Linked DNA regions of Pelodiscus sinensis. The protein of the gene in region 1 interacts with the protein of each later gene in a pairwise test. Links are inferred from orthologs where the notes say so. Each region holds a gene or a part of one and is shown on either strand. Other genes may lie near its edges.

Evidence for each region.
Region 2: the proteins of NAB2 (region 1) and PHOSPHO2 interact in binary tests that used the Homo sapiens proteins (3 or more experiments, as listed by UniProt). The two-hybrid records come from large-scale screens. The link is inferred for Pelodiscus sinensis from reciprocal best matches to the Homo sapiens genes NAB2 and PHOSPHO2.

The regions. Positions count from the first base shown.
Region 1 is NC_134729.1:3,396,837-3,401,047, reverse strand, and holds the start of NAB2 (NGFI-A-binding protein 2), read left to right. Parts: upstream 1-941; 5' UTR 942-1,111; coding exon 1,112-1,175; intron 1,176-3,592; coding exon 3,593-4,211. UniProt on the Homo sapiens protein: Acts as a transcriptional repressor for zinc finger transcription factors EGR1 and EGR2. Isoform 2 lacks repression ability.
Region 2 is NC_134717.1:39,921,490-39,925,700, reverse strand, and holds the start of PHOSPHO2 (pyridoxal phosphate phosphatase PHOSPHO2), read right to left. Parts: upstream 2,646-4,211; 5' UTR 2,515-2,645; exon of another isoform or gene 2,452-2,514; coding exon of another isoform or gene 2,385-2,451; exon of another isoform or gene 1,700-2,384; 5' UTR 1,554-1,699; intron 833-1,553; 5' UTR 811-832; coding exon 85-810; 3' UTR 1-84. Other genes in the region: CFAP210 (cilia- and flagella- associated protein 210), read left to right, coding at 2,385-2,451. UniProt on the Homo sapiens protein: Phosphatase that has high activity toward pyridoxal 5'-phosphate (PLP).

The sequences.
Region 1 (4,211 bases):
CCTATGTCCCTTCCTCTGTGCCCTCCCTCCTCCCCGTCTCCTCCCCCGGGCCCCATCCCCCGCGCCCTCCCTCTTCCCCCTGCGCTCCGCCTGGCCCACACCCTCCTCCCCTCAGCCCCCCAGCCCACACCCTCGTCCCCCTGCACCCTCCCAGCCCGCACCCTTCTCCCCTATGTCCCTTCCTCCGCGCCCTCCCTCTTCCCCCTGCGCTCGGCCCGGCCTGCACCCTCCTCCCCCTGCACACCCCAGCCCGCACCCTCCTCCCCCTGGGTCCCCCCCAGCCCGCACCCTCCTCCCCCTGCGCCCCCCAGCCCGCACCCTCCTCCCCTGCCCCCCCCAGCCCGCACCCTCCTTCCCCTGCGCCCCCCAGCCCGCACCCTCCTCCCCTGCCCCCCCCAGCCCGCACCCTCCTCCCCCTGCGCCCCCCAGCCCGCACCCTCCTCCCCTGCCCCCCCCAGCCCGCACCCTCCTTCCCCTGCGCCCCCCAGCCCGCACCCTCCTCCCCTGCCCCCCCCAGCCCGCACCCTCCTTCCCCTGCGCCCCCCAGCCCGCACTCTCCTCCCCTGCCCCCCCCAGCCCGCACCCTCCTCCCCCTGGGTCCCCCCCAGCCCGCACCCTTCTTCCCCTGGGCCCCATCCCCCGCGCCTCCCTCTTCCCCTTGGGCCCTCCACTCTCCCTGCGCCCCTTCCCTCCGGACTCCTCCCCCTGGGATCCCCCCCTTCATCCGTCCCCCGCCCCCTCTCCCTTCCCCCCGGGGCGCCCACTCCCCCTGCGCCCTTTCCCCCACACCCGCCCTCTTCCCCCTGCGCTCCCCCCGGCCTGCGCCCCGCGCCCCCCGCTTCCGACCCCTCGGCCGATCGGCCCGGCCCGCTCCGGGGGCCGGCGGAGGGAGGCGCCGCTGGGTCCCGCCCCCGGAGCCTCCCACGCGCCGCGCCGCGCAGCCGGGCGCTGCTATTTCTCTGTAAATCGCGTGTGGGCGGCGCGCAGAGCGCAGCGGCGGAGGCAGCGAGCGAGCGAGCGGCCGGTGCCGAGCCGGGAGCGCGGCGCGATCCAGCCGGTCCGGGGCAGCGGGGACCCCGGAGAGCCCCCGCCCGGCCCCCCGCCGCCGTCCATGCCCGGGCGAGGCGCCGCGGAGCTGGGAGCGAGAGCGGCCGGGCGCAGCTCCAGCCAGGCCAGTAAGCGAGGGGGGGCTGGCACATGGGGGCGGGGGCTGGCGCGGGGTGGGGCCTGGCAGGGGGGAGCCGGGGGCGGGGGGCTGGAAGTGGGGTTGGCACGGGAGGGGGGGGGTGCTGGCTGGCGCTGGGGGGCAGGCACAGGATAATTTCGGGTATTGAGGAGTGGGGGAGGGGCAGTGCTGGGGGCACAGGGGGCAGGAAGAGGGGCAGGAGGTGAGCTGGGGGGGGGTCGGTCTGGTCCTGGGGAGGGAAGCTTGGGTAGGAGCTGGTCAGAGTGCCACTGGGCTTGGGGGAGGGGCTAGTTGACCAGCAAAGTCAGAGCAGAGCTGGGGGGGGGGGGGTCTCGGGACTGTACCCCCCCCCCCCCCAACACACTGCTCAGAGCGTCTTGCTGGGATGTGGGCCTGGGGGGATGGGAATAAGGCACCTGAGCAGGGATCTGGGATGCTGGGGAAAGTGGATGGGGGAGGGGCTGGGGTCTTCTTCCTTCCCCATTCAGGGATGGAGCTGCCATGTACCCCCAGCACCCCTGTCTGGGGGGGGGGGCATTGCCACACAGACATTTCCGGGGGAGGGGGCAGAGGCTGGGTGCGGGGATGTCTCTTGGTTGAAGGAGAAAGACCCTCCAGATTGCGTGGGAGTGGGGCTGGCCAGGGGGCTGTGGAGAGGGGTGATCAGTGGATCAGGCTCTCCAAGCTGGTTGCCAACTGCCCCGGCTCCTTGGGGTGCTGGCACCCGGGGGGGGGGCGGCATTCTCGCCATCTGGAGCCATGTGTATCTCAGGTCCCAGTGGCACTGAGAAAAGCAGGATTCTCTCTGAGGACATGGGGCACTGCCCCTTAGCGAGAGCCCTCTGCAAAAATACTGGGGGGGGGGGGCTGGATGGCACTGGGAGAGTGTGAAGGAGGTACTGGGTGCAGTTGGGGGGGACACTGGTAGGGTGCAGTGTGGAATCCAGTGAGGGGAGGCTGCTGCCCGCAGTGCAGGAAGGTGAGGGTGCTAGGCGCAGGGTGGGAGGACTGGCGGGGTGCAGTGCAGAGTGCAGCAGGGATTGCAACCATGCAGTGCGGGGAGGCTCGGGTGCTAGGTGTAGGGTGGGAAAATTGGGCAGGTGCAGTGCAGAGGGGAACGGGCAAGCTGGTGGAGAACAGTGCAGCGTGACGAGGAGGGTTGCAGCAAGTCAGTGCAGGAAGGTTAGGGTGCTAGGTACAGTGCAGAGAAGTTGGTTGGGTGCAGTGGGAAGGGGTAGGGTTTAGAGCCATGCAGTGCAGGGAGGTTGGTAGAGTGCAGTGGGAAGTTGCTTCCCTGTAGTGCAAGGAGGTGAGGATGCTGGATGCAGACCTGGGAAGCTGGTGGACGTGGGGGGGAGGGTGCAACGGGTTTGGGGGGGGGATGCAGTGTGGAATGCAGTGGAGGGTTACAGCCACGAACCATGAAGAGGTGAGGGAAAGAATATTGGTGGGGTGCAATGCAGAAAGCAGTGGGGAATTGGAGCCGTGCAGTGCAGGGAGGTGAGGGTGCTAGGCGCGGGGTGGGAGGACTGGCAGGGTGCAGTGCAGAAAGCAGTGGGGGATTGCACCATGCAGTGTAGAGAGGTGAGGGTGCTAGGTGCAGGATGGAAAAATTGGGCAGGTGCAGTGTAGGGAGCAGTGCGGGATTGCACCATGCAGTGCAGAGAGGCGAGGGTGCTAGGCGCAGGGCGGGAAGATTGGGCGGGTGCAGTGCAGAGTGCAGTGCGGGATTGCAGCCATGCAGTGCAGGGAGGCAAGGGTGGGAGAATTGGCGGGGTGCAGTGCAGAATGCAGTGGGGGATTGCGGCCATGCAGTGCAGGGAGGCGAGGGTGGGAGAATTGGCGGGGTGCAGTGCAGAGCGCAGTGGGGGATTGCGGCCATGCAGCGCAGGGAGGCGAGGGTGGGAGAACTGGCGGGGTGCAGTGCAGAGTGCAGTGGGGGATTGCGGCCATGCAGCACAGGGAGGCGAGGGTGGGAGAATTGGCGGGGTGCAGTGCAGAATGCAGTGTGGGATTGCAGCCATGCAGCGCAGGGAGGCGAGGGTGGGAGAATCGGCAGGGTGCAGTGCAGAATGCAGTGTGGGATTGCAGCCATGCAGTGCAGGGAGGCGAGGGTGGGAGAATTGGCGGGGTGCAGTGCAGAGCGCAGTGGGGGATTGCGGCCATGCAGCGCAGGGAGGCGAGGGTGGGAGAATCGGCGGGGTGCAGTGCGGGGTGCAGTGCAGAATGCAGTGTGGGATTGCAGCCATGCAGTGCAGGGAGGCGAGGGTGGAGGAATTGGCGGGGTGCAGTGCAGAGCGCAGTGGGGGATTGCGGCCAGGCAGTGCGGGGAAGCGGCCGCTGGTTCTCCGCTCGCCTCCCCCCATCGCCCTGCTCTGGCCCTGATGTCCCCTCTTCCCCTCACAGGCCTGCCCCTCGCCATGGCCCTGCCCCGCACCCTGGGCGAGCTGCAGCTGTACCGCGTGCTGCAGCGAGCGAACCTGCTCTCCTACTACGAGACCTTCATCCAGCAGGGCGGGGATGACGTGCAGCAGCTGTGCGAGGCGGGCGAGGAGGAGTTCCTGGAGATCATGGCGCTGGTGGGCATGGCCACCAAGCCCCTGCACGTCCGGCGCCTGCAGAAGGCCCTGAGGGAGTGGGCCTCCAACCCCGGCCTCTTCAGCCAGCCCATGGCCTCCCTGCCCGTCAGCAGCATCCCCCTCTTCAAGATCTCCGAGAGCGGGGGGCGCAAGTCGCTCAGCAACGGGCACGCCAGCCCCGGGGAGGCCCCGGGGAAAGGGGGCGCTGGGCTGGCCACGCCGCCCGCCCGCAGCCCCTCGGAGCTGGGGGAGAAGCTGTCCCCTCTCTCGGCCCCCCAGTGGCCGGGGCGCAGCACCCCGGAGTTGGAGGGGGGCGGGGCGGAGGAGGACGGGGGGCCGCCCCCTTTCTCGCCGGGGGGCGGGGAGCCGGCGCCGGAGCAGCTGGACCCGGAGCTGGCGCGGACGGTGGCGGAGGGTGTGGAGCGGCTGCTGCAGAGCTGCCCGCG
Region 2 (4,211 bases), on another chromosome or scaffold:
GTGATAGACACAGTAATTATTATTCACTCCATGCAAGACAACACATCTTTAACAATTTACTTTTAATCATCTCTATAGTTTGAGTTATTCTTTTATAAGTAATTTCAAATGAGACAGAATTTCAATACCTGATGACCAAACTAGAACAGAAGACTGCACAGGATCAAGATCCTCAGACATCTGAGAAATCATTTTCTGTAAGGTATACCCTTGTCTGGGCATAGCAATATCATTCTTCTTCAAAAAAGTTACTGGACAAAGATCATTCCCACCATCACCTACATATATAATTTTTGTATATTTTACTCCTTCCTGTAATTTTTTATCCACAAATTCTTCCAACACTTTTCTTTTGCAGAGATTTTTAGGGCACTTTGCACAATGATGAGTGTGAAAATTCTGCAAAGTAAGATAGCCAGCACCACTGAAAGCTGCAGGATTTGTAAACACTTCATCAAGCACTGCATGAAAGTTAGCAGCTTTTAAAATCCAGTCAATAAATACTGTATTAGAATCGGAAATTATTATACAATCAAAGAAATCTTTGTTCTTGCCAATAAAGCCTAAAAGATCTCTCATTCCTGTAGTGAAAGGAATTGTTGTCATAGTTCTTTTCATTTCATCTTCTCTTACGCCACTGTCTCCCAAATATTTAAAGACTCTGCCCATGTATTCTGTCCAATGTCCTTTTTTATACGAATTTCTTAGTTTGTTAGGCAGTTTTTCCTCAGGAGCACATTTCACAATCCAGGTGTCACTATTTTCATCTATGACCGTATAGTCAAAGTCAAAAACCAGCAGTAACTTCATAGTTGTTAGATAAGAATATATGCTGGAAAAAAAACATTTTGTTTATATAATCAGAAGCTTCTACTAAATATTAAATTCCTATCACGACCTCCTGCTTTGAAAAGGGCAAGTCTACCACAAAAAAGAGTCAAGACAAATGTATAAACATGGCTGTTTCTGGGCACTACAGCTATGGGAAAGGCTGTGCTCAAGTGAGCAGATGATCTGTAAAGGTCAAAAGTCTAATTCACTATCCAGCTACATTCTTAATTAGATAGTATAAAGGAGTATTGGAAACAACATGTTTATTACTCAGTCTTCACTAACACAAGTTCAATTTAAACAATCTGGCTGCACTACAGTTCTAATTCTAATTTTTTTTTTTATCCACATGGTCAATCAAAGCAACCCTCAAGACTGAAATTCTTCAGCTTTCTGACAGGAGATGGAAGCATTTTATGAAAACCTTGAAAGAGCCATTTGTAGCTGCTGCTGTTGCTAGTTTAACTAATTTTCTTCTTCCACTTAAAAAACCCTACTAACAACATTCAAGCAGGCACCTTGATTCAAAAAATCAAGAACACAAATAACCTTTGTGGTGAATATTAGTGTTGACTTGCTATAGGAAGATTTGTAGGTAGCTTAATTTACTGTGGTTCTACAGCATTAGCATTTATAGACAAGTCCTGGGGTAACCAAACAGCCTAGAGAAGGAAACAGCTCACCCTTTCTTTAGTGTAGTTCTAGGCACATATTTTGTTTACCTTGGGAATAACTTTGCTCATCACTTTTTCCCATTCAGAAAGAAGCCAGGCAAGTCCAGGGTGGTTGGGTTTCAACATTTGAACTTGAGTTCAAAGTCTCTCGCTCAAGCTTCATGGGGTGGCGGAGTTCATCTGTACAGGATAAACTTAAAAAAACAAATGATCTGGTAGCACTTCATAGAATAACAAACACATAGATGGTATCATGAGCTTTCCTGGGCACAGCCCACTTTTTCAGCTGACCGAAATTTTTGAGTTTAGGATGTGCAGACTCAAAATAAATAGGGTCTCTCTCCTGTCAGCCCCAACAGCTCGATAAAGCGCATTTACAACACAGATGTCGAGCAGCGCATCAGACAACATCACTCGGCATCCCCCGCACCCCCAACAGAACAGCGCCCCGCACAGCAGGGACAGGCGCAGCGGGAGCGCCGGGATCCCCGTTCTCAGCTACGCCCAGGGGTCCGGGCAGCCGCAGCTCGCGCTAACGGCAGCAGCCGGCGTCACTCAGCGTCACGCGCAGCAGCGGGCCCCGCGCGGGTCGCTCACCCCCTGCCTCTGGGCGGGCACAGGAACCGCAAGCGGACCCAAGCTCAGTGCGGGCCCGAGAGCACAGGCGGGGCGGAGCCGCTACACCGGCACCGAGCGGAGGCGCCAGACCTGGGCAGGCGCTGCTGCGCCCCGGCAGTCCGGCCAGCCGCTTCCGGCCCCGCCCCCTCCGCTAAGTCACGTGACGCAGCTCTTGGCCTGTCGCGCCGTCTTCCCCCCCCCCCTCGGTTGCCTGGTAACCGCCGTACACAGGCCCCGCTCAAGGCGCCGGCTTGCTGGCTTATGGAGGCGGCCGCCCGGCCCGCGGCGCTGTTCGGGCGGCGCAAAGGCCAGAGACGAGGGCCCGCGCGTGAGTGACACGAGGCGGCCGGGGCGGACACGCGAGTGGCGGGGCCACGCGGACGGACGGTACCGGGACGTGGTGCCCCAGGGGCGCAGCGGCCGCCTCTGGACCTGCGACCTGGTGCGCGCCCAGGCCCCTGCAAATGCGCCACGCAACCCCGGGGCCCCGATTTCTCCCTGGAGCCCAGCTGGCTCCCACGCGCAGCGCCCTGCCGCGAAGGGAGGGGAGACTCCGCCCTGGCGTTACGTGGGGGCGAAGGCCGCGGGTGGCTAGTGCGGAGAGGGGCGGATTGGCGGCGATTGGCACCTACATGTCTGAGGCGGTGGTGTCCGGACACGGGGCTGACATGCCAGGCACAAGGAAGGCGGCGATGATGCACGACACAAGAGATGCATTGGAACAGGAGTGGGGGGGGGGGGCACTTCATGAATTTCAGAAGTGGTCCAGAAGGAGCGGGGCCTTGCACAGAAGGGATGAGACCAGGAGACTTCACTCTTCTCCCTCACCCACAGACCCGGATTGGCCTGGGAGTGGGAGAGTGCATGAAATCTTTGTCACCCCTGCCCTGCCAGGGGCAGGTGGTGCTTAGAGAAAACAGGCACCCGTTTTAAAAACTGCTGGTTCCTTCTGGTGCCACGCACCCCTGGTGGGGGTGGAGAGAAGGGACTTTGCCACTCCCCCATCCCTAGGTCTTAATTGGACTGGGGGTTGGAGAGTGGCAGTGGGCACGATCAGAGGGCTTGGCAGGCTGGATGCAGCCCACAGAGGGTGTCTTGCGCACCCAATATTAGAAGTTCTGGAACTAACACGTTAGAATGATGCTTAGCCTAAAGAGGAATCCGATGTGGAGTGCATAAAAGAGAATGTGCACCTTTCTTTCTTCTCACTGCAAATGAGTCCTTGGGCTCCTATTTTGGCATCCAAGAAAAGTGCAGGAGAAATACAGTGCAACCCCCTTTATCCATTCCTTTCCTGGGTGACCCTTCAAAAATGGCAACAAATATTGTAAACAAAGAACTAGGAAGGCTGGATATCGGGTAATTGAATAGTTATGTAGCTGCATGAATTCTTATCCATTACACAACTCTTCGATAGTCCCCAGGGTGGGACCAGCAGCCAGTGCACTCCGGCCTCACTCCCGGGGTGCCCCTGCCATCCCATGCTTCTGTCTCTGTATCAGAGGTAGCAGCACAGGGTGCCAGGTGGGAGACAGTCCACGAGGGGAGCCAGTTTAAAAACCAATTCTCTGCTTAGACTGGCTACCTGCCACCTTGCACTGCTGTCTCAGAAACAAAGGCAACAGCATGGGGTCGTAGGAGCCCCTGTCCACAGGAGCTCTGAGCATCCTGCAGACAGAGGCTGGAGCAGCCTCTGTCCATGGGGAGCACGGATCCCCCGTGGATAGGGTTGCTGCCAGGGACCAGCCTCTGTCCGCAGCAGGCCCAGGCTTGCCATGGACAGTTGCTGCTCCATGGGAGGCAGAGCAGCCTCTGTCCACGGGGAGTCTCCTCTGGTCCCCTCTACGCTGCTGCCTTAGGGTATGTCTACACTACCCCACTAGTTCGAACTAGCGGGGTAATGTAGGCATACCGCACTTGCAAATTAAGCCCGGGATTTGAATTTCCCGGGCTTCATGTGCATAAGCGGGGAGCCGCCATTTTTAAAACCCCGCTGGTTCGAACCCCGTGCAGCGCAGCTACACAGGGCACGAACTAGGTAGTTCGAACTAGGCTTCCTAGTTCGAACTACCGTTACTCCTCGTGAAA